Linked DNA regions of Caenorhabditis elegans. The protein of the gene in region 2 purifies or fractionates together with the protein of the main gene of each other region. This does not show direct contact. Each region holds a gene or a part of one and is shown on either strand. Other genes may lie near its edges.

Evidence for each region.
Region 1: the proteins of C56A3.5 (region 2) and Y73F4A.2 fractionate together in Caenorhabditis elegans (co-fractionation; one large-scale study listed by BioGRID). This does not show direct contact.

What each region holds. Positions count from the first base shown.
Region 1 is NC_003282.8:9,037,791-9,047,163, reverse strand, and holds Y73F4A.2 (DOMON domain-containing protein Y73F4A.2), read left to right. Parts: upstream 1-3,816; 5' UTR 3,817-3,853; coding exon 3,854-4,039; intron 4,040-4,113; coding exon 4,114-4,341; intron 4,342-4,396; coding exon 4,397-4,489; 3' UTR 4,490-4,777; downstream 4,778-9,373. Other genes in the region: DOMON domain-containing protein Y73F4A.1, read left to right, coding at 1,870-2,061, 2,180-2,470, 3,016-3,081; Y73F4A.3 (DOMON domain-containing protein), read left to right, coding at 6,704-6,889, 7,157-7,366, 7,424-7,519.
Region 2 is NC_003283.11:13,543,747-13,553,873, forward strand, and holds C56A3.5 (Leucine-rich repeat-containing protein), read left to right. Parts: upstream 1-8,220; 5' UTR 8,221-8,224; coding exon 8,225-8,348; intron 8,349-8,399; coding exon 8,400-8,545; intron 8,546-8,590; coding exon 8,591-8,979; intron 8,980-9,026; coding exon 9,027-9,383; intron 9,384-9,427; coding exon 9,428-9,548; 3' UTR 9,549-9,627; downstream 9,628-10,127. Other genes in the region: C56A3.4 (RING-type domain-containing protein), read right to left, coding at 6,968-7,163, 7,372-7,437, 7,491-7,573, 7,641-7,961; micu-3 (EF-hand domain-containing protein), read right to left, coding at 9,733-10,127.

The DNA.
Region 1 (9,373 bases), on a different chromosome or scaffold from region 2:
CCATATTTTACTCTCTGTGGCTTCCTACTATTATTTACTCTCTGTGGCTTCCCACCATATTTTACTCTCTGTGGCTTCCCACTATTATTTACTCTCTGTGGCTTCCCACTATTATTTACTCTCTGTGGCTTCCCACCATATTTTACTCTCTGTGGCTTCCTACTATTATTTACTCTCTGTGGCTTCCCACCATATTTTACTCACTGGCTTCACAGTAGATTTTACTCTCTGGCTTCACAGAATAATTTACTCTCTGGCTTCGCAGAATAATTTACTCTCTGGCTTCACAGAATAATTTACTCTCTGGCTTCACAGTATATTTTACTCTCTGGCTTCACAGAATATTTTACTATCTGGCTTCACAGTATAATTCACTCTCTGGCTTCACAGAATAATTTACTCTCTTGCTTCACAGAATAATTTACTCTCTGGCTTCACAGTATATTTTACTCTCTGGCTTCGCAGAATAATTTACTCTCTGGCTTCGCAGAATAATTTACTCTCTAGCTTCACAGTATATTTTACTCTCTGGCTTCACAGAATAATTTACTCTCTGGCTTCACAGAATAATTTACTCTCTGGCTTCACAGAATAATTTACTCTCTAGCTTCACAGAATAATTTACTCTCTGGCTTCACAGAATGATTTACTCTCTGGCTTCACAGAATAATTTACTCATCTGGCTTCACAGAATAATTTACTCTCTGGCTTCACAGAATAATTTACTCTCTGGCTTCGCAGAATAATTTACTCTCTGGCTTCACAGAATAATTTACTCTCTGGCTTCGCAGAATAATTTACTCTCTGGCTTCACAGTATATTTTACTCTCTGGCTTCACAGAATATTTTACTATCTGGCTTCACAGTATAATTCACTCTCTGGCTTCACAGAATAATTTACTCTCTTGCTTCACAGAATAATTTACTCTCTGGCTTCACAGTATATTTTACTCTCTGGCTTCGCAGAATAATTTACTCTCTGGCTTCGCAGAATAATTTACTCTCTAGCTTCACAGTATATTTTACTCTCTGGCTTCACAGTATAATTTACTCTCTGGCTTCACAGAATAATTTACTCTCTTGCTTCACAGAATAATTTACTCTCTGGCTTCGCAGAATAATTTACTCTCTGGCTTCACAGAATAATTTACTCTCTGGCTTCACATTATATTGTACTCTCTGGCTTCACAGTATAATTTACTCTCTTGCTTCACAGAATAATTTACTCTCTGGCTTCGCAGAATAATTTACTCTCTGGCTTCACAGTATATTTTACTCTCTGGCTTCACAGTATAATTTACTCTCTAGCTTCACAGTATAATTTACTCTCTAGCTTCACAGTATATTTTACTCTCTGGCTTCACAGTATATTTTACTATCTGGCTTCACAGTATATTTTACTTTTTGGCTTCACAGAATATTTTACTCTCTTGAAAATGTTTCTTCGGGGACTTGTTTCAAATTTTAAGCGCTTTCAGAATTTAATTACAAAATTTTTCTAGGTGCCAGAAGCTTCCAGTTCAATCAAAAAAACTGAATTTCAGGCATATATATGACATCATTTTTGTTATTTCTGGACACACAAACAAGTTCATCTCATTAGTTCTTGTAAAAAATTGTGCCGCATTTTCAAAACTAACTCTAATTTTCAAATGTTGGCGTTCTTTGCATTCTGGACACACAAACAAAATAGGTATATGACTATTTGAAGAGAAATATCAAGTTTCTAAACATTCAATCTGCAAAAACTGGCAATATCTCATCATTTGTTTATCAAAATTTGTTTAGCTTTCTTTCCGTGCAAACTTTCTGTAGACGATTCCGTTGACCTATAAATTGACGTCTGTCATTTTCTTTCTTCATTACAAAATGTTCGTTTTGGCAATAGTATTTGCATTCGTTTTTATTCCATCTTCTTCTTCTGTCACTTGTGATTTCAAAAATGAACTTGTTTCGATGAACTGGAATGTTAAAAACAATAAAATTCAAATTCATTTCGAGCACAATAATCTAACTGAAAATAGATGGACTTCGATAGCTTTTGGAGATGGACCTGGAATGGTTAGTTGTACTCAATTTTATTAAAAATAAATTCAGTGTATTTTTTTTTTAAAAAGTCAGAATAATACAGAGAAGTTCATTATATTATCCCCAAACAACGTTAATAAACTTCCTCCAGAACAACCTGGAATCGATTATATTTTCCCGTAGAGAAGACAATGTGATAACAACAAATTCTGGATATACACCAAAAAAGAAGAAAGTCGTGGTGGATGATGTTTCTTATGTGACAGTTAATGATGTCCAAATCACCGGGAACAAGCTGAAAGTTACAGTGAGCCGACCTTTGGGTCCAGCTGGTCCAAGAAACTTCTCATTGGATCAGTGTTTGAATTGGATGGTTGTACCGGGAGGAAGCTTAAGCAACGGAAAATTCAAGAAACATCATGGCAAAATTTTTTTCATCAAGGTTGGTGGAGAATATTTCGAGAAGATTTAATGTTGTACATAACTTACTTTTTTCTGAAATTCGTCATCAATTGGCCGCTATGTCAACCAAATTAAAGCTGCGGATTTTCCTTTTTTCCGTGTTTTGACGGAACACTTATTTTTCGTTTTCCTCAAAAAATAAGAGCGTGAAAACTCATAAATATTAAAACGGATGAGTGCTGAGAGGGCCTTATAAATACATGTGAACCTGCAAAATCCGTCACTCACTAGAATTGTTGTGGTCCCTATAAACCTTGAGCATGTTTGAAGAAGTAGTAGAACTTTCTAATCTTACGTTCCAACAACATTCAATTCTGATTTTATGAATTTTGCTAATTCCTAAAGAAAACGTTATTGTTCTCTCAAAAATCACTTCTTATTACTTTTCCCTCGTTCCTCGTTCGCAGTTGGTTTTTCCGAAACAAATATCTGTTCCTTTGTTTGATTGAACTGGAAAAGAGTAATGTCGAAATCCTTGGTAATTTGCTTCGTATCTCAAATTTTTTCATGAAATATTTATTACAGGACGTCTGTGCTGCAAAATGTACTGCTGAAAGGATCCAAAGAATCAATTCAAATAAAGCACTATAAAAACATTACTAACATTTTCACATTGAATTCATTAATTAAATTGTTAATTAACTGTCAAATCAAAACCATTAATAAATTTTATGAGCCGAGTTTTGCTTTAAAAGCTTTGTCTGTAGAGCTCAAACACCTATGCCAAATATTATGGAAACTTGAACCCCTATAGCAATAAACACAGTTTTCAGTAGGAAGAAACACTGTTTTTTTTAATTAAAAGTTTCACGTGGTTCAAAAATATTTACAAGTAATAAATTTTTTGAAAGGGAATAAAATAATTCAATGTATAGTTTTACGGAAAGTTTTTGATTGATTTTCTAGCGAGAAATCGTAGTTTAAACATTAATTCAGACTCTATTTTGAATCAGAACAAAAGAAGACGGCAAAAATTGAGATCACCAAACCATCCATATCGGTACAAACATGCTGTACTAAAAGTAGATAAGGAGGGTCAAAGATAATACTACTGATGAGCTTCTTGAAATATATTTGATTAACTGATTGCCATGGATTATTTGTAAATCCTTTCTCAAGCGTTTCCCCTACAAAACCATGTGTAACTTTTTTTTCTATTTTCTTTTACATCTTAAAGTTTGCCACCGAAAATACCAGAGCAAGTAGACACACACATACACTTGGCACATTGTTGGACTACAAACTCTCGTACCCAGATACACAAAAACCACGATGGTAAACACTGTGATGACCGAGTATAAAAGGGAGCACATGATGAGTTGAAACAGACAGTACATCCATTTGAAACTCTCACATTCGAAAAATGTTCCGATCCATTGCTGTTCTTTCGGCTCTTCTTTTTGCCTTTGCATCCGCCAAAACATGCAAATACGACAGTTCCGATTTTGAAGTTTACTGGCGATTCGCTAATAATTCGATTAATATGCAATTCATGAACACTGATATTAAAAATAACGAATGGACTGGAGTTGGGTTTGGAGATGATAAGGTAAGAAAATTGACAACATCTAATGCAGTTTATCCTAGATATCCAAAATAAATTTGAACAAATTCACATTCCAGAACAACTTTGTCGGAGTCTTCTTCATGGTGTCCAACAATCAAGTTACTGTCCGTACAGGATCAACCACTCAACACGGACCACCAACTTTCACTCAATCTGGAACAAACACTGCTTCAGTATCCACTCAAGCACTAAACTATTTCCCAGAGGATAAGACAATGAGTGCTGTCGTTCAAATTCCAATTCAATTCAATGGAAGAAGCCTTCAATCGTGCCAAAAATGGAGGGTAAGGCATTTTTTGTAGCTTTACTAAAAGTTCTTCAAATGTAAAATTTTTTCAGTTCGTCAAGTCTGGCAAAATCGAAAACGGACAACTCACCCGTAACGATAAGTCGCCAAAGGAGAAGAAAGTGTGCCCAATGGAATGCAATTAAGCTCCGCCCTTTTACTTATTCATGAATAATCATGTTTCAATTTGACCATGTAAATAATTGTTTTTCTCATATCGGGATCATCTTTTTTCTCTCACTGTTTCAAAAATAATTGAATTTCAATTTAAAAACGATAACTTCGACCAATAAACGGTTCGACTAGAAATCAACGAACAAACGTGAACATTGTCAGCGTGGCTACCGTAACCCGTCAAAATCAAATACACTTTGTTATTGTCACAATTGTGCCATTCGTTTTGTTTGAACAAGAAAAAACTGTGTTTGACAACTTCGTAAAAAACTTAAGAACTGATGGCGGAAAGGTTCACTAGAACAAATAAAAATATTAATAAAAAATTAATAAAAAAATCGGTGTGTGTGTGTTTTAATAGGGGCTACATTATTTATTCATTCGTTTCAGAGTGCCATAAAGTGAATGAAATAATCTACAACTGTATTTGCTTTCAATTGTTTGGATTATAAATTCCATTTGGTATTTCGCTCAACAATCCTATCCTACTTGGCTAGAAAACACCTTCGAAAGAGTGTAAACTGAAAATTAAATTGTAGAAATCACAACAATATATACATATTTGAAAATTTAAACAAATGTGAGCACCGCATTTTTTTGTCTTCGTCATGTCTGCAAGAGAGCGTAATAAATTAAATTATATTAAATTCTAAAATATCACACTAGAAAGCGAGCCGGTCACGAGGCGTCCGTTGTACGCCTCAACCCATGTGAAATGTCTAGTTTGAATGTATCAAGAGAAGAGTTTATGTAATATCCTTTTTGAAAATTGAATAAAATACATACTTTAATTTCGAATAGTTACCTACTAAATATGAGCTAATTTTTTTTACGTGATCTTTTCATTTTGCTCTATTGGTTGTTTTTTTAATATGGGTAATAAAACTGTATTGCTGAAATTATTGCAAGTACATACATATACACTGATTTCTGCATGTTGTTGATGATTATTCGTTGATAATAAATAGTTGATGATTCAATGTACTAAATTTCAGATAGTATATAATAAGGAAACAACAATAAAAGCGTTGTAAAAAATATTACCTTCACACTGAATTATATTTTTAAACAGTGTGCCTTCATATACTAAATAAAAATTAGTTTTCATTTATGGGGTTATTCAAGTAGTGTCGGAAAATTAAAAAGTGTAGAAAAATTAGGTCATAACTGTAATAAAACACGTAAAAATATGTGTTTTAATACAGTTGTGACGTCATAAATGTATTTTAATACATTTTGCAACATTACTTGAATAACCCCATTAGAGGTGTCGTCATAATTTTAAAGTTAAGAGTTAATAATTTTAAAGTTAAGAGTCATAATTTTAAAGTTAAGAGTTAATAATTTTAAAGTTAAGAGTCATAATTTTAAAGTTAAGAGGCACATTTAGTCCGAGTATCCCTTGTGAGTGCCGAAAATGATGTTGTCGCGTTTTCCAGAGGTTAAACCCTGGCTACGCGCATGTTGTAGCAGTATTCCAAAGTCTAAAAGAATGCATTTGAAATTTAAGTTTACAATCAGCATGGCATTGTATATAACGTCCCCGATTGCTAAGAAAGGCAAATGATATAATTTAAAAATTTCAAATACTATTTATCGAACACTACATATGGACATTTTTTCAATCACAAGCAGGTGGCCGGTAATTTTAACGCTTGAGGGATGAGAGTTTGGTTTTTACAGGGATGCGAGTTTTTTTTGGGCATATTTTGAGTCCCGTGATTCGGAGAGTTTCAGAAAAAAAATATACAAAAAAAGCCCCACTGCATTAAAAAACAATCACTTAAATAATAGCTAAAAAGTGACCATATGCATCCAATTTCCTAGATAATTTTTTAACTATTTTTGAGAAAAGAAAAGTGTCGCGGTGTTCAACAAGTTGTTTTTGCAGACATTTTCGTTAATATAGTCTATGCTCTCTGAAGTTTGCCAATCGGTTAAAAATTTACGAATTTTCCAAATATTTGCCACGTCTTTTTCTCATATTCTCTTCAATTCATTATCACTCTCTTCAAAATTTCATTCAAATGTTTACCAATCGTCACCTACTAACAAAAACTTATGTTTTCCTCGACCGATGAGACACCCACCTAAATAACTCGAAATGTCAATATCGCAGAATTGGTTTAAATAGCAGGAGACAAAAATTATTTGAAAACTATTTGAAATTTGAAGAAATCAAAAGAATGCTATCTCAAACGATTATTCTACTGCTCATTTCAATTGGAACTGTGGCTTCACAGACTTGCAAGTTTTCAAAATCCGCAGTGAAGGCCAATTGGAAAATTCAAAATGGGGCATTGCAAATTCAATATCAAAATAATAGAATTACCAATAATCAATGGACTGCAATTGGATTTGGACCCGGAATGGTTGGTTACAAACAATTAAAATAGTTTACTGAAAAATTAATTCTTAGTTTTGAATAACATACAAGGACGAATCACAATTTTAATGTTAAGTCTAACTTTGAGGTACTTTTTTGAATATCTAAAAATTATATTATTAAAAATATTATTTTGATTTTCGCTATTATTGAAGTTTGGCTTGACAAATTTTGAAAAAAAAATGTGGGAAAGATATCGCCAGCTTAGACGAATTTAAAATTCATGATCATGTTCAAAAATAAAATATTTCAGTCAAACCTGAACGTAATCGTATTCATAGTCCAAAATAGTCAAGTGACTGTACGTACCGGAAGAACATCTGGATATGGTCCACCATCTTTTGATAATCAAAGCAGTGTTAGTGTTCAAATGGCAAATCATTCTGGATCAACACTCAATGCTCTTGTCAATGTCCCATTAAACTTTAATGGAATGAATATTCAAAATTGTCAGACTTGGAATGTAAGTTCGAATATTAAAAAAATAATCTCGTATTTAATTCAATCAATGATTTTTCAGTTTGTACAAAGCGGTCCAATCAACAACGGAAATATGGGTGTACATACATCGAGACCAGATCAAGTCAATAATGTTTGTGCGTCACAGTGCAGATAAAAATTGTATTTTTTAAATTCTAAATTTGATCGATTTGATATTGTTCATTAAAATGAAATTGCATTTGTTTAAATTTCGCTAAAGTTGAATAGTGACAAATTACAAACTGAAACTTGTATATATTTTTTTCAGTAGCTCAAAAACATTCAGAGAAAAGTTCTATGTATAGAATTTCCTTGAAGTTAAAAACTTGTATTTTCAGAAAAAAAAAAATAGGCTAGACACATGAACACCTGTTCATACTTGAGGTTCAAAGTATCAACTGGCGTCATATTTTTTTTGTAAATAGCCATTTCATCTTACTATCAGAACCATTTGTGTTCATTTGTTTTGTTTGTAATTTTGGAAATTAAAGGAGACGAGTTTTTTTTTGTAAAGCATACCAAGATTACCTTCATTTCTAACAATTATACGAGAATTTATTTCTAAAAAACAATTATTTCTGCATTTAATTATGGTATTATCAAAGTATTCAAGTTTTTGCGATAACAGTTTTTTTCTAAAACATCTTTAATTTCCCAAATTCTAGAATGCGATAGTTTTTTCATGATGACGTCAATTTATTTCCCTGAAGCTCTAAAATAATTTTATACGCTTTTCCCGTTTTTTTATGCAATTCAAATTCTACTGAACTCCAATGTTTTCAGATTTTTCGAAGTTTTCAGTCAACGTTTTGGTTAATTTCCAAATATTTGAAACATTTGTATTTTAATTTTTGTTTTTTTAGCAACGCTGCATATTTGAACACTAGAAAGTTTTTATACAAATAATTGAACTTATAATTATAATATAAAAAATGAAAATATAATATGAAAATATAAAATGAAATTATAATATAAAACTTGCAGAAATAATTGTATTTTATTCGATTACGACTGGACCTGAAACCACAATACTCCATTCTTTTTTGTTCAGCCGTAACATTTTATTAATTTTTCGTATTATAAAAACTGAAAACTTGATATCTGAAACTAACCCCACAATCAGAAAGTATCGGTCAAATGACGCATTGAAAACAAAGAAAAATTGATTTGGGGAACCTCTGTCCGTTTTTGGAATGTTATTGTCTTCTACAATTTTTCCCCCAAAATAATGATCACTATTGTTTAATTGTATCACTCATGTCGTTCATACACTGGTATGACATCTTCAACCTATCTTCTTTTTTTTTGGCAATCAGTTCATTCTTTCACCATTTTTTCCGTTTTCTCCCATCTAATTTTTCCAAATCACTAACAAACAAGCAATTCTTTATTTTCTATCACTGATTTGTGTCCAGTCTTCTTGTTTTCCAATGATTTTTGATTCTCATTCTCTTCCTTTTTTCATTCATATAATCTCGTTAATTATTAACAGTTTCTTTCCAAATTCACTAAATTCTGCAAAAAAAATGTTTCTCATTCGGAAGCTGTAACCGTGTAATAGAACAAATTCTGTGAAAAAAATCAATTCCTGCGGGATAACATTGCACCTGGCATTCTGAATTTGAAAAAAAAGACACGTCATCTAAAAAAGTCTAGAATCGAATTCTCAAACATCGCTAGATCCTCCGCATTTACATTTCAAGTAACATTTAAATTTAAAGTGTTCCCACGATTCTCCAGATTTTGTCGATCCATTTCCATCCGCCTTTCTCATTTTTATTTTGTGTTTTCTTCCATTTAGACGTCTATTTGAAATGCGAAGAAATTTTAAAGAAAATCAGAAATGCACAAAATAATTGCGTCTGAATTATAAAACTTTAGATGTAAAAAGAACGAGAGTGTCACAAGCATCCTTTTTGCTGTGAATTTTTAGTTTCAGTATACTAAAAACTATGAGACATTTTCCATAATATATTAAACTCTAACAATT
Region 2 (10,127 bases):
AACCTTTGGGAAGTTTTTTGATATTCTGAATATTGAACTTTTGTTTGATAGTTTTGCAAACAAGGTTTAAAATAGTATTTATGAGAAGGATAGTTCCTCTAAATTCAGTGTTTTCAATAAGAAGCTGGGAGACGCCACGTCTTAAAAGTGGCTGAACATAGAATTAATCAAGAGCGGAAATAATAAATACAAGATTGGAGATTTTGATATGATGACTCAGGTTGACCTCGTAATACGAGAAAAGAAGCTTGTGATGATTTCAAGTGGAAGTTATATGAAGCAGAAGAATCGGGTGATTAATTGTTCAATTTTGCGTACTGAAAGGATTTTATGAGGAATAAAAAATGAAACATAAATTTTTCTAGAAAATTAATTATTTGATAGATAGTTAACGAACCGGTTTCAAACTTGCTTTTTAATAGTATTTTTAGTTATGAAGTTTTATAATGAAAACGCGGCAAGTTTTTCAAAACGAATAAATACTGATCAAGTGTTTTTAGTTGACCATGGGAGCCTTTGAAAGAGCTTCTTGGAATTTATTCTTTGCAAAAGTTTTTTTGGAGTTTATTTATACATGTCGTTAATAAACTTTGTCATCTTCATTTTTTCAATGCTTTTTTTAAAAGAATGTTCAAAAATTAGCGTTTAGAGATAATTTTTAAAAATTGGAAAGTACAGAAATACATACAACAAACTTGAAAATTGAACGAAAAACAAGAAAGAGGAATTTTCTTGAATTTTGACACCACTGGCTAATCTCATTGAACAAAAATAAGCATTCTTGACTGAAAGCACAACAAAACTGATTCATTGAATTATTCAACTGCCGGATCTTGTTTAAGACTGGTTTCCAATCAATTCGAAATTCCAGCCATAAAACGAGTAAATCTTGAAATTTTCACGTCACAAGCCAAGATGGAAAATATCTATAAAAGTAACAAGATTATCTGATCAACTAGTATATTCATTCCAGAAACCAATAATAATAAAAGACATTTGATATCCAATTTCCTGCCTATTCATGTTTGTAACCTTAAACTTTAAAAAAACTATGATATTGAGATCGGATTTCTTGGAGGATTTCTGGTTTTCCTTTCGTTCTTGTGAATTACCATTCTTAAGTAAATGTCGTATCTTATTTGGAAAACGTGATTCGGGTTGGAATGAGGAAAATGTATGGAACAAATAAGGTGGTTAGAAGGTGTGTTGAGCTGAATAGAAAAAGATTGAAGCAATAGATTGGCGGAAAATAAAGAAAATTTTTGAAAGAGAGCAAGTGAGGTCAAACATCTGGCGAAACTATAAACTGGATACATGACATGTTCAAAATAGTTTTAGGTTTTATATAAAAGATTTTTTGATGAAGAAAAACATTTTTAGACTGGATATTTTGGAGTGCGCGACTCAAGGAGGGCCTGTAAGAAGGCAAGATGAGCCCCCCTGACGCCTCGGAAAAAGTTTTAAAAATCATTTTGGCAGTTTTATTGAAAGAAAATTGAGGATGTTTTATTCAAATATCAACTTTTTTTTGAAAAAAAGGAAATTGAAACAAAAATATTTAAAATAGCTTTCACTGTAAAACTTCAGAAACTCATAATTTCAAAAAAAACTATTGAAGATGCTATAAAACTTTATAAAGCATCTAAGAGTTTGAAAGTTGCAAAAGTAAAATGGGCGATACATTTGTTACCAATTGTTTGGCTAGGAAATCTTGAAAATGTTCTTTGCCATATGGTCTGAACTTTGTGGTTGCTTTTTATTATATTTGAATTCTCGATTATGATTCATAAAAGTAAAAGTTCGTGGGTCTTTGCATTTTGAAGATTTCTTCAAAATGTTCAGAATTATTTCAACATTTGAAAACATATTTTCACATTTTCACATTTCATCGAAGACTTTTTATTTCCTGAGTTTAGTCAATTATCTTTTGCTATTGAATAGATCCGACAATTTTGTTTTTGAGCATCTAGACGTAAGCTTTTCTTTCTTTAAGTGTTTTCTAAAAAAACTGGAACATTTTACGATAAGCTGGAAATTGGTATTTTCTAAGAAAAGAAGTACGATTTAGTTTTCTTTCTTAATATCCTGTCAACAAAAATTTATTCGGTTGAGATTGTTAACTTCAGAGTAAAAATTTGAACTAGAATGAAGTTGATCTGAAAAAGTTTCAGGCAATTTCACCAAAATCGATATTTATACAGTTTCCCTAGAGATAATTTCTTCCGCATCTAATTTCGATGTTGTGATACCTTGTTGAATTTGAAGAGCTTTCAAGATTTATTTTGATCGAGTGAAAAAGATTCATATTGGTGTCAAAAAAGATTCCCAAAAAGTTTCTAGCTTATTTTTCTACCCTTCTCGGCATCACTGCCAACGTTGTGTTCAAGTTTGGTTCAAAAATATTAACTTGGTTCTGAAGTTGGCTAACCTTCAGTAACAGTTAAAAAGACTTGGTTTAGCCCAGGCCTATGTTTAGCCCAAGTTTGATCCAACTCATGCTTTGACTGTTTTCCTTGTGTCATTTTAATTTTGGGACAAATGATATTGGCAAGTGTTCGGCCAGACTTGGGTACTTGAGCGCGTTCTAAACCAAGTCAGAACAAGTTTTTGTCAAGTTTAAACTGCTCTAGAGCTCTCCTGCAGCTAATGAAAACAGAGAATAATTTGTTAACGAAAAAATTCAAAAACAACTATTTTCAAAAAACTTCAAAAAGTTAAATGAATACTGAAAACAAAGTTCTTTGAAAACAACGTTTGAATACAACGTCATGAACAATTCAAAATTCATGGTAATGCGGTCGGATCATAGTCAGGTTAAAGATTCACCAAGTGCAAAACTACAAAATCGTAAACAACTTATTCTTTGAAAGAACTCGAGAGCTAGCATAAAAGATTCTAAAAATAAAACGTAAATATGTATTACCCAAGATATTCTTACGTCTTCATTTTCCTAAACGAAAAACAAACATAAGTAAGTGGTGATGGAAGTTGGTGAAAGCCGAGGAAAAAGAGAGTTCAATTTATCTTATTTTCGATGCCTTCTTCTCATTTTGCCTTTTCTCTTTTTTCCACTTAATCTATCCACCAATTCAAATTGGTATTCATTTTAAGTTAGTTTTTGGGATAGCGTCCATGATCGCAGTCGAGCGGGTCTCTATGATTACGGTAAATAAAATAGAATGCGTCAGAAGTTAGGACAAAGCTCAGAATTAAATTTGAAGCCAAACTTGACGTCATCAAAGAGAATTGCAAAGCAACGGAAATTCTGGAAAAGATAAAAAACTGGAAAGTCTATCAAAAATAGTGGAGCAAAGTGATAATACACATTGAGTGTTCAACTTTTTCTTGCTGTGTAGTAGAGAGAGTGATATTAAAAATTACGCTTTACGAAGAGTGCACTTCATTTTTTAACTTTTTTTTGAAAAAAGCTCCAACTCATAATACGAAGTAATGAAGAAGTCGGCAAATTTGAAGAAACGAAAAATGTGGGGGAGGGTTGTGGATTAATTAGGCGAAGATTCTTTGAAAGAGATTCATTTGGAGATCGAAATGTTACATTTATGAAATAGTTGGAACTCAAGTTTTAAATATGGAAAAAATACAATATGAAAATGAAAGTAGTTCTTAACAAGAGTTTAGTAAGGCATAAACCAATAAATGTTGGAAATGTGAACTGATATGAAAAGTTGTGATTCATTTTCAGCTGATTTTAAGTTATGTATGTATAATCGAAAATTTTAGAATTTAAATTTAGAAATTAACTTTAACTCAAGTTATGGATAATTTCTAACCTGGTATTTTTTTAATCCAAGAATTTGTATTTTAAATTTCAGATTCTGGTAAAGCTTTGTTGAGTACACTCAAGACCTGAAAAAATACACAACCTCAAAATACGTTTTTTCAAATTTTGAACCAAATGAAATGCGGCGTTTGTTTCCCTAGTTCTAGATATCTGAATGTATTCTGCGGGTTCGCAATATTAAAATAATAATTTCATTTATCTAATATTCAATTTTATTTGATCTAACACCGTTTTTAAATAGCTGGAATAACAGAAGAAAGACCAGAGTCTGTCTGGATTCTTTTTTCCCATTTTTTGAGAAAAGTCATTTCACAACTTTTTATGTTAATCCATTTTGCCTTCTCTTAGAAACCAACACAAACCACTTTCGTAAATGTTCTATTTCAAATAAAAAGCTCATTTTTGAAACTATTATGAAACATAAAGAAAAGGCGGAATTGACAAACTATTTTTTGAAAGTAAATTTCTGAATTCCCCTTTTTAATCCTATCCTTTTTTCTGAAAATTTATGATGATCCGAACGAAAGGCTCTTTCATTTTTTACGCCTGACGTACCACAAAGATGACAGACATATTGCGACAATTTGCGATTAAAGTGAAAGAAAAAGGAATGAGGGGGTTTCTTGTGAATTGAAAAATATATGTGAAAAAAGGTACTTTCTAGTATTCACCAACATTTATTATTTCTCAGAAGGAAAAGGAAACGACGGCTAGATGGGACTTATTTATGTTTTGATTGACATGGTAACAACATCATACGTTCCATATTGCGTGAGCACTTATCAAGTAAATTGAGAAATGAAAGTTTATATTGAAGTCCTTGTAGATCAATTTATACGAAGATACTTGTGTTTTGGACTTCTAGAATTCTAAAAAAGGGGAAAATTCACAAAAGTGGGTCTCATTAGGAAAATTCAAATTTTTTGAATCACGCTGTAGCATGGAATTACCGCAGTAATTAAGTCACTAAAAATAATGCAACTTTTTCAATTTTTGAGATGTAGTGAGCATCTTGGAGCTCACAGAAACATGGCTCGTCAGGTACATCATATAAATCTATAAATCATATAAATTTCCATTATATACACTTGTCGTATAATTTTTTGAAAGGTTTACTTGTTACATGGAGCTCCGTCTGTAAAAGTGAACATATAGTTTCTAATTTAAGAATTTTTTTTTTAAAATTAGAAATACTTCCAAAATAAGTGAAAATGTGTGAAGAAATGAGCATATGAGTGAGTAAAACTTTAAACAACTGAAAATGATAGTGAAAAATGTTCAACTTACAGTATATTTTTCATAACTTTCTAAATGTTTACATTCGTTTCAATTTTCCTCTTGAAGATATCGCTAGTAGGAAAATTGTTTCAAATCGCTCCTATAGTGCTAATAATGCCCAAATATCATAGTAAAACTTTATCAAACTTTTTTGTAATTTTTTATGTGCATTCAAAATTTTCTGCAAATTTTATATTTCAGTTTCGTTGCAGTTGTTCGTATTTTAACATTCTAAAAATTCGAAGCAATACTCGAGATTACTCGAAAAAAATCGCATTTTTGAAAAACTTGGCAATTTATCAAAACTTTAGCTAACAATTTTTTAAATCTAACAGTCAGAGTCTATTACATATATTGCTCAGTCATGTAGGATTTGTGTTTATAATTATAATACCCCACTTTAATCATGGTTCAAGGTACATATAAAATACGGTAACTGAATTTTGAGCCAAATTAAGTTTCAAAACAAGAAAATAAAGTCAAAAAGTCTAGTGTACTAAGATAGTAGGAAAAATGAACAAGAAATTAACAGCGTCATCTCAATTTCATGGGAGAGAAACTAATCCGTCTCCTGATGATGTTAGTCGTGTATTTCTAAAAGAGAAAAAAAAGTGTGTACGGACTGGAACAAAGTGAAGTATGTATGAAGTAAGTGTCGAAGAAGAAAAGCAGAGCCATAACAGGAGAAAATGAAGGAGAGACCGAACACGCGATCATATGTTAATCGGTCCATTGGGAACCGACCGGCGTGGGGACTTCGAGTCGATAAGTGGGGCGAGAAGAAGCATGAAACATGGTTCAAGAGTAAGAGAATAGACCGCCCAACTTTTTTTGTGCGGGGAGAGCTGGAAGCAAAAAACACTTGAGCGAACGGAATGAGACTGGGGGAATGGAAAAAAGAAGAAGCCACGTCATTATGCGGGGACGAATGGGATGTGAAACGAATTGAGCAGTGGATCATCGATGAGGGGAACGGCAGAGCAGAGATCCGAACGCTATTATCCAGACGCGAAATTTTGTGATTTTTTTGTGACTCAAATACAGTACAAAATTTTTTGTTGAATGCGAAAAGATGTGCACCTTTAAAAATAAAGTACTTTCAAATTCTCGTTTCTGCGGAATTTTCATTCATTTTTCCCTCGATTTATTTTGAAAACTTAGTCTTTATTGAGTTTCTGAATAAATATATAATTGTTTATCGGAAAACAATGAGTAGTCGCACAGGCTGTCACATAACGGTTTGATCTACAAAAAATGCGGGAATTTTTTTTCCCAGATTTCGTCAGCACGCTCGAAACCATGCGAAATCAGTTGAGATGTCTGCGTCTCACCTCCCGCATTTTTTGAAGATCAAACCGACATGGGGCATTCTGACACCATGGTGTACACCACGTGTAAATAGTCGCGAATAGTCGATAAAAGTTCTGCAGCCACGAGTTTGTAATTACAGTACTCTTTCAAGGCGCATACCTTCTTGTATTTAACAAAAAAATTGTCGTGTCGAGACCGGGAACTGTGTTTTAGCGCAAACGTCGTAAAAGTAATAAAATGGTTTTTTTCTCAAAAATTGTTTGAATTGTAGTTTCAGAACATTCATTTTGCTAGATAATGTCGCGATTACGCTTGTCTAGTTCAGGCATAGTTTTGACGTAAATCATCACCGACCATGCATGGCTTGTCAAACACACGAATTGACTCAAGATTTATTAGCTAATAGAGTTTCTAATTTTTAGATCAATATTTAACAGAATTGTCAGATAGGGAAAAGTCGTACACGCATCAATGAAAACTGGTAATGGAGAATCATGGGGATTTTAAAAGGTAGGCAGGTTGGAAAATGGATGTTTTGATTTAAAATATACAGAAATGTGTAAATGGATATGATAATCAGAAATGTACAATTTCAAACGACTGAACATGCATGTGGCATATTGGACATAGTAGAGGTATCTGCTTCTGGAAGGTATCATTGCAAGGTTCACAAAAGCAGAGATGATTGCATGGGCGGAGCAGAACACGTTTCTCAGTCAATTTACACAGGAAACATTGAAGTCGAGCTTCGTTGATAGAATCTTCAACCGATCTGAAAGTGACATATTGAAGAGGTGGGTTGAATTTTTTTTGATAATGAACTTTTTGATATTACATGGTAATATAAAATGTTAAATTACAAAAAAAAACTGATAACATTTTTTGAATAAGAACACATTAATTTTCACAGGTACATTTTTTAAATAATTTTTACTATTCGAACAACTTGATCATGTTCAAAAATTCAAAAAAAAACCTACTTTACACCTGCTTTTGGTGGCTTTGGTCCGTGGATTGCTTCTACTGTGCGACGAATTGGAGCAGCTCTGGAAATATTAAAATTAATAAATTCAGTAGCAAACATTGTTTCGGAACTTACCGATTATCGACTTTTTCGATGAATCCCAGAATAAATTTGATTGGATGCAGGAGAACATCGATAATTCGTGTGACAATTCGGACCTGAAAATGTGTTTTCTTTAGTTAAAATTTTTAAATAAAAAAAAGAAAATATATATTATTAACTCACTTGAGGGAAAATGAAACCAACAACTGTGTAGACGATGGACACTCCGTACGGAACCACAGTGTATAGAATATAACTGATAAAGCTTTCACGTGGTGTTGATGACAATCGCCTATAGACGTACAAAGTGATCAATACAGTAGCAATAAACAGGAATAGTGATAGGGATGAAAATACAGGAAAATTTGTGAAGAACCAGTTAGTAATTCGAACAGGAATCGTCACAAAATAGTAAACTGGATAGAACAGCTTGAAAATGTAGTCAAATGCTGTTCTGGATGCTTGAAGAGCATCATCCGGTTCTTCTTGTTCTAATTCGGACATTTTTATGGATTTTTACAGATGATTCACAAGTGAATTGACTGAGTTTACTCGAAAATGTCACGAGAAAATTGCGAAATTAGCCAAAAAGTGCCTAGAAAAACACAAATGGCTGGGAAACCCAAAACTCGTGTACTCCTCTCGGACAACTTTTATTTTTGTCTTTTTTCGCGAACTTATTCTTGTGATTGAAGTTCCAACGTTTTATTTTAGATAATTTTTGAATAAATATTGTTTAAAATATTAAACCATTTTTAAAAAGTAGAATGGCATCAACTCGACCAGATAACGTCCTAGTTTGGATGGCCAGCCGTGGAAGTTACGTTGAAAGTATGCCAGGAACCATCCTCCGAATAAAAAATGCCTCTAAATTTGGCGAAAATCTTTATGGTAAGTTTTTTGTGTTTTTAGGAAAGTATTTTTTATAATATAATTTTATAGGATTCAAAGATCAGCCTGGAGAATTGGTAGAAGTGACATGGGATGCAATGTTCAAATTACGACCAACACTTGTTGAAGTAGACTTTGGTAGAAATCCTTGTGACGAATTGGTTAAAGTGATTGAAAAAAATTATAATAATGAACAGGTATCATTATTTTAAACTATGTAAATTTACCAAAACTGGTTTCAGATCAGCCATTTCTTCGAGAAAGTAAAAGCCCTATCGCTTCATATGACAGATATCACATCGGAAAGTTTACTGAAACTTATGGATAAATTCACTTTACTGGCTGCATTCTCTTTTTCTGAAACAAAATTTTCCACACCGGAGTGGGCAACAATTTTGAAACGATTGTCAGAACTTAATCTGCGCGGAATTGATCTTTCCGATAATATTTTGAGTGAAGTTCAACAACACATCGATGTATCATTAATGAAATTGTCTGGAAATCCTGGAGTTGATGTTAATGAGTTCAAAAAAGGAATCGAATTTGTGACAGTGAAAGTTCTAGCGGTTCAAGAGCTGAAATTCCTGGGAGAAACGGACGCTGAGCAACTTCTCGAAGTTCTGCCCCAATCGTAAGTCTACAAAGCTTTTAGAATTGTAATATTTTGTGATCTTCCAGATTTCCACGTCTTGAAACACTCATCTGGGATTGGAATGTCGTTGATCCAGAGTTGAACTTCGATGAACGGACCAAGAAAGTTCTTGATCAGCTTCTCTTTGTCAATAAGCAATTGAATCTAGGATCTCTTGCCGTCGTTGCATATACACCAAATCCAGAAACTAAAACCGCAATCGAATCAGTTGCGAGGACACTGAAAGGAAGTATTAAAGATGTTCAACTGCACCAGTTTGCTACAAAAGGATTATCTGATGGAATGGCCAATTTCTCACTTATTGTTGCTGGAAATAATGAAAAAGCGATGAAAGAACTCATGGATATGTATATGGTAGATCGATCTACTATGCCTCCAATGGGGTAATAAAGCTCTGGAGTTTAGAAATTCAATTTTAATTTTTCAGAAAATTGCTCCGACTTTGCGAGGAAGATATTGTTCCCATCTATCCAGCAATTACGATGGATTTTGGAGGATTCAATAAAAACCGTATTCGTCAGCTGTACACAGAAAGCCCCACTGACTGAACATATTTCCTCTTTTTTGAATTGTTCAACTTGTTTTTGTTACCGTTTCCCTGTTGTTTCTAATAAATTGAGTTGTTTTAAAAGAAAAATTCTTATTTACACACAGGCAAGAAAAATAGCGACATATCTACAAGGCAAGCACGGGGATAAAAATACTTTTGTTTAAAAAAGTTTTAAAATTATATTAGGCACGGGATACTTCACTTATAACGCAATTCTTAAACGGTTTCCAGCCCCAAGGTTTTTCAAGTCGTCCTCGAAGCCCTCGATGGAGTCGATCACTCATTACAGCCAAAAACTCTGGATAGGAAAGTGTTCCATCATTGTTCTCGTCAAAGATTCGAAATATCATTGAAACAACGACCGGATCCAATTCTTTTCCAATAGTACATCCAACAGCTCGAGCAAATTCCGGTTCCGAGACTGGTACATTACTGTTCACATACAAACGAACAGCACTTTGAAATTCAGCCAAATTATTCAGGAAACGACTGAAAGTTGCCCATTGACTAAGACTGATGCCTGGCTCATCGTCATCTGATTTCTCTTGCACTCGTTGAAGATATTTGTGATAGTCAT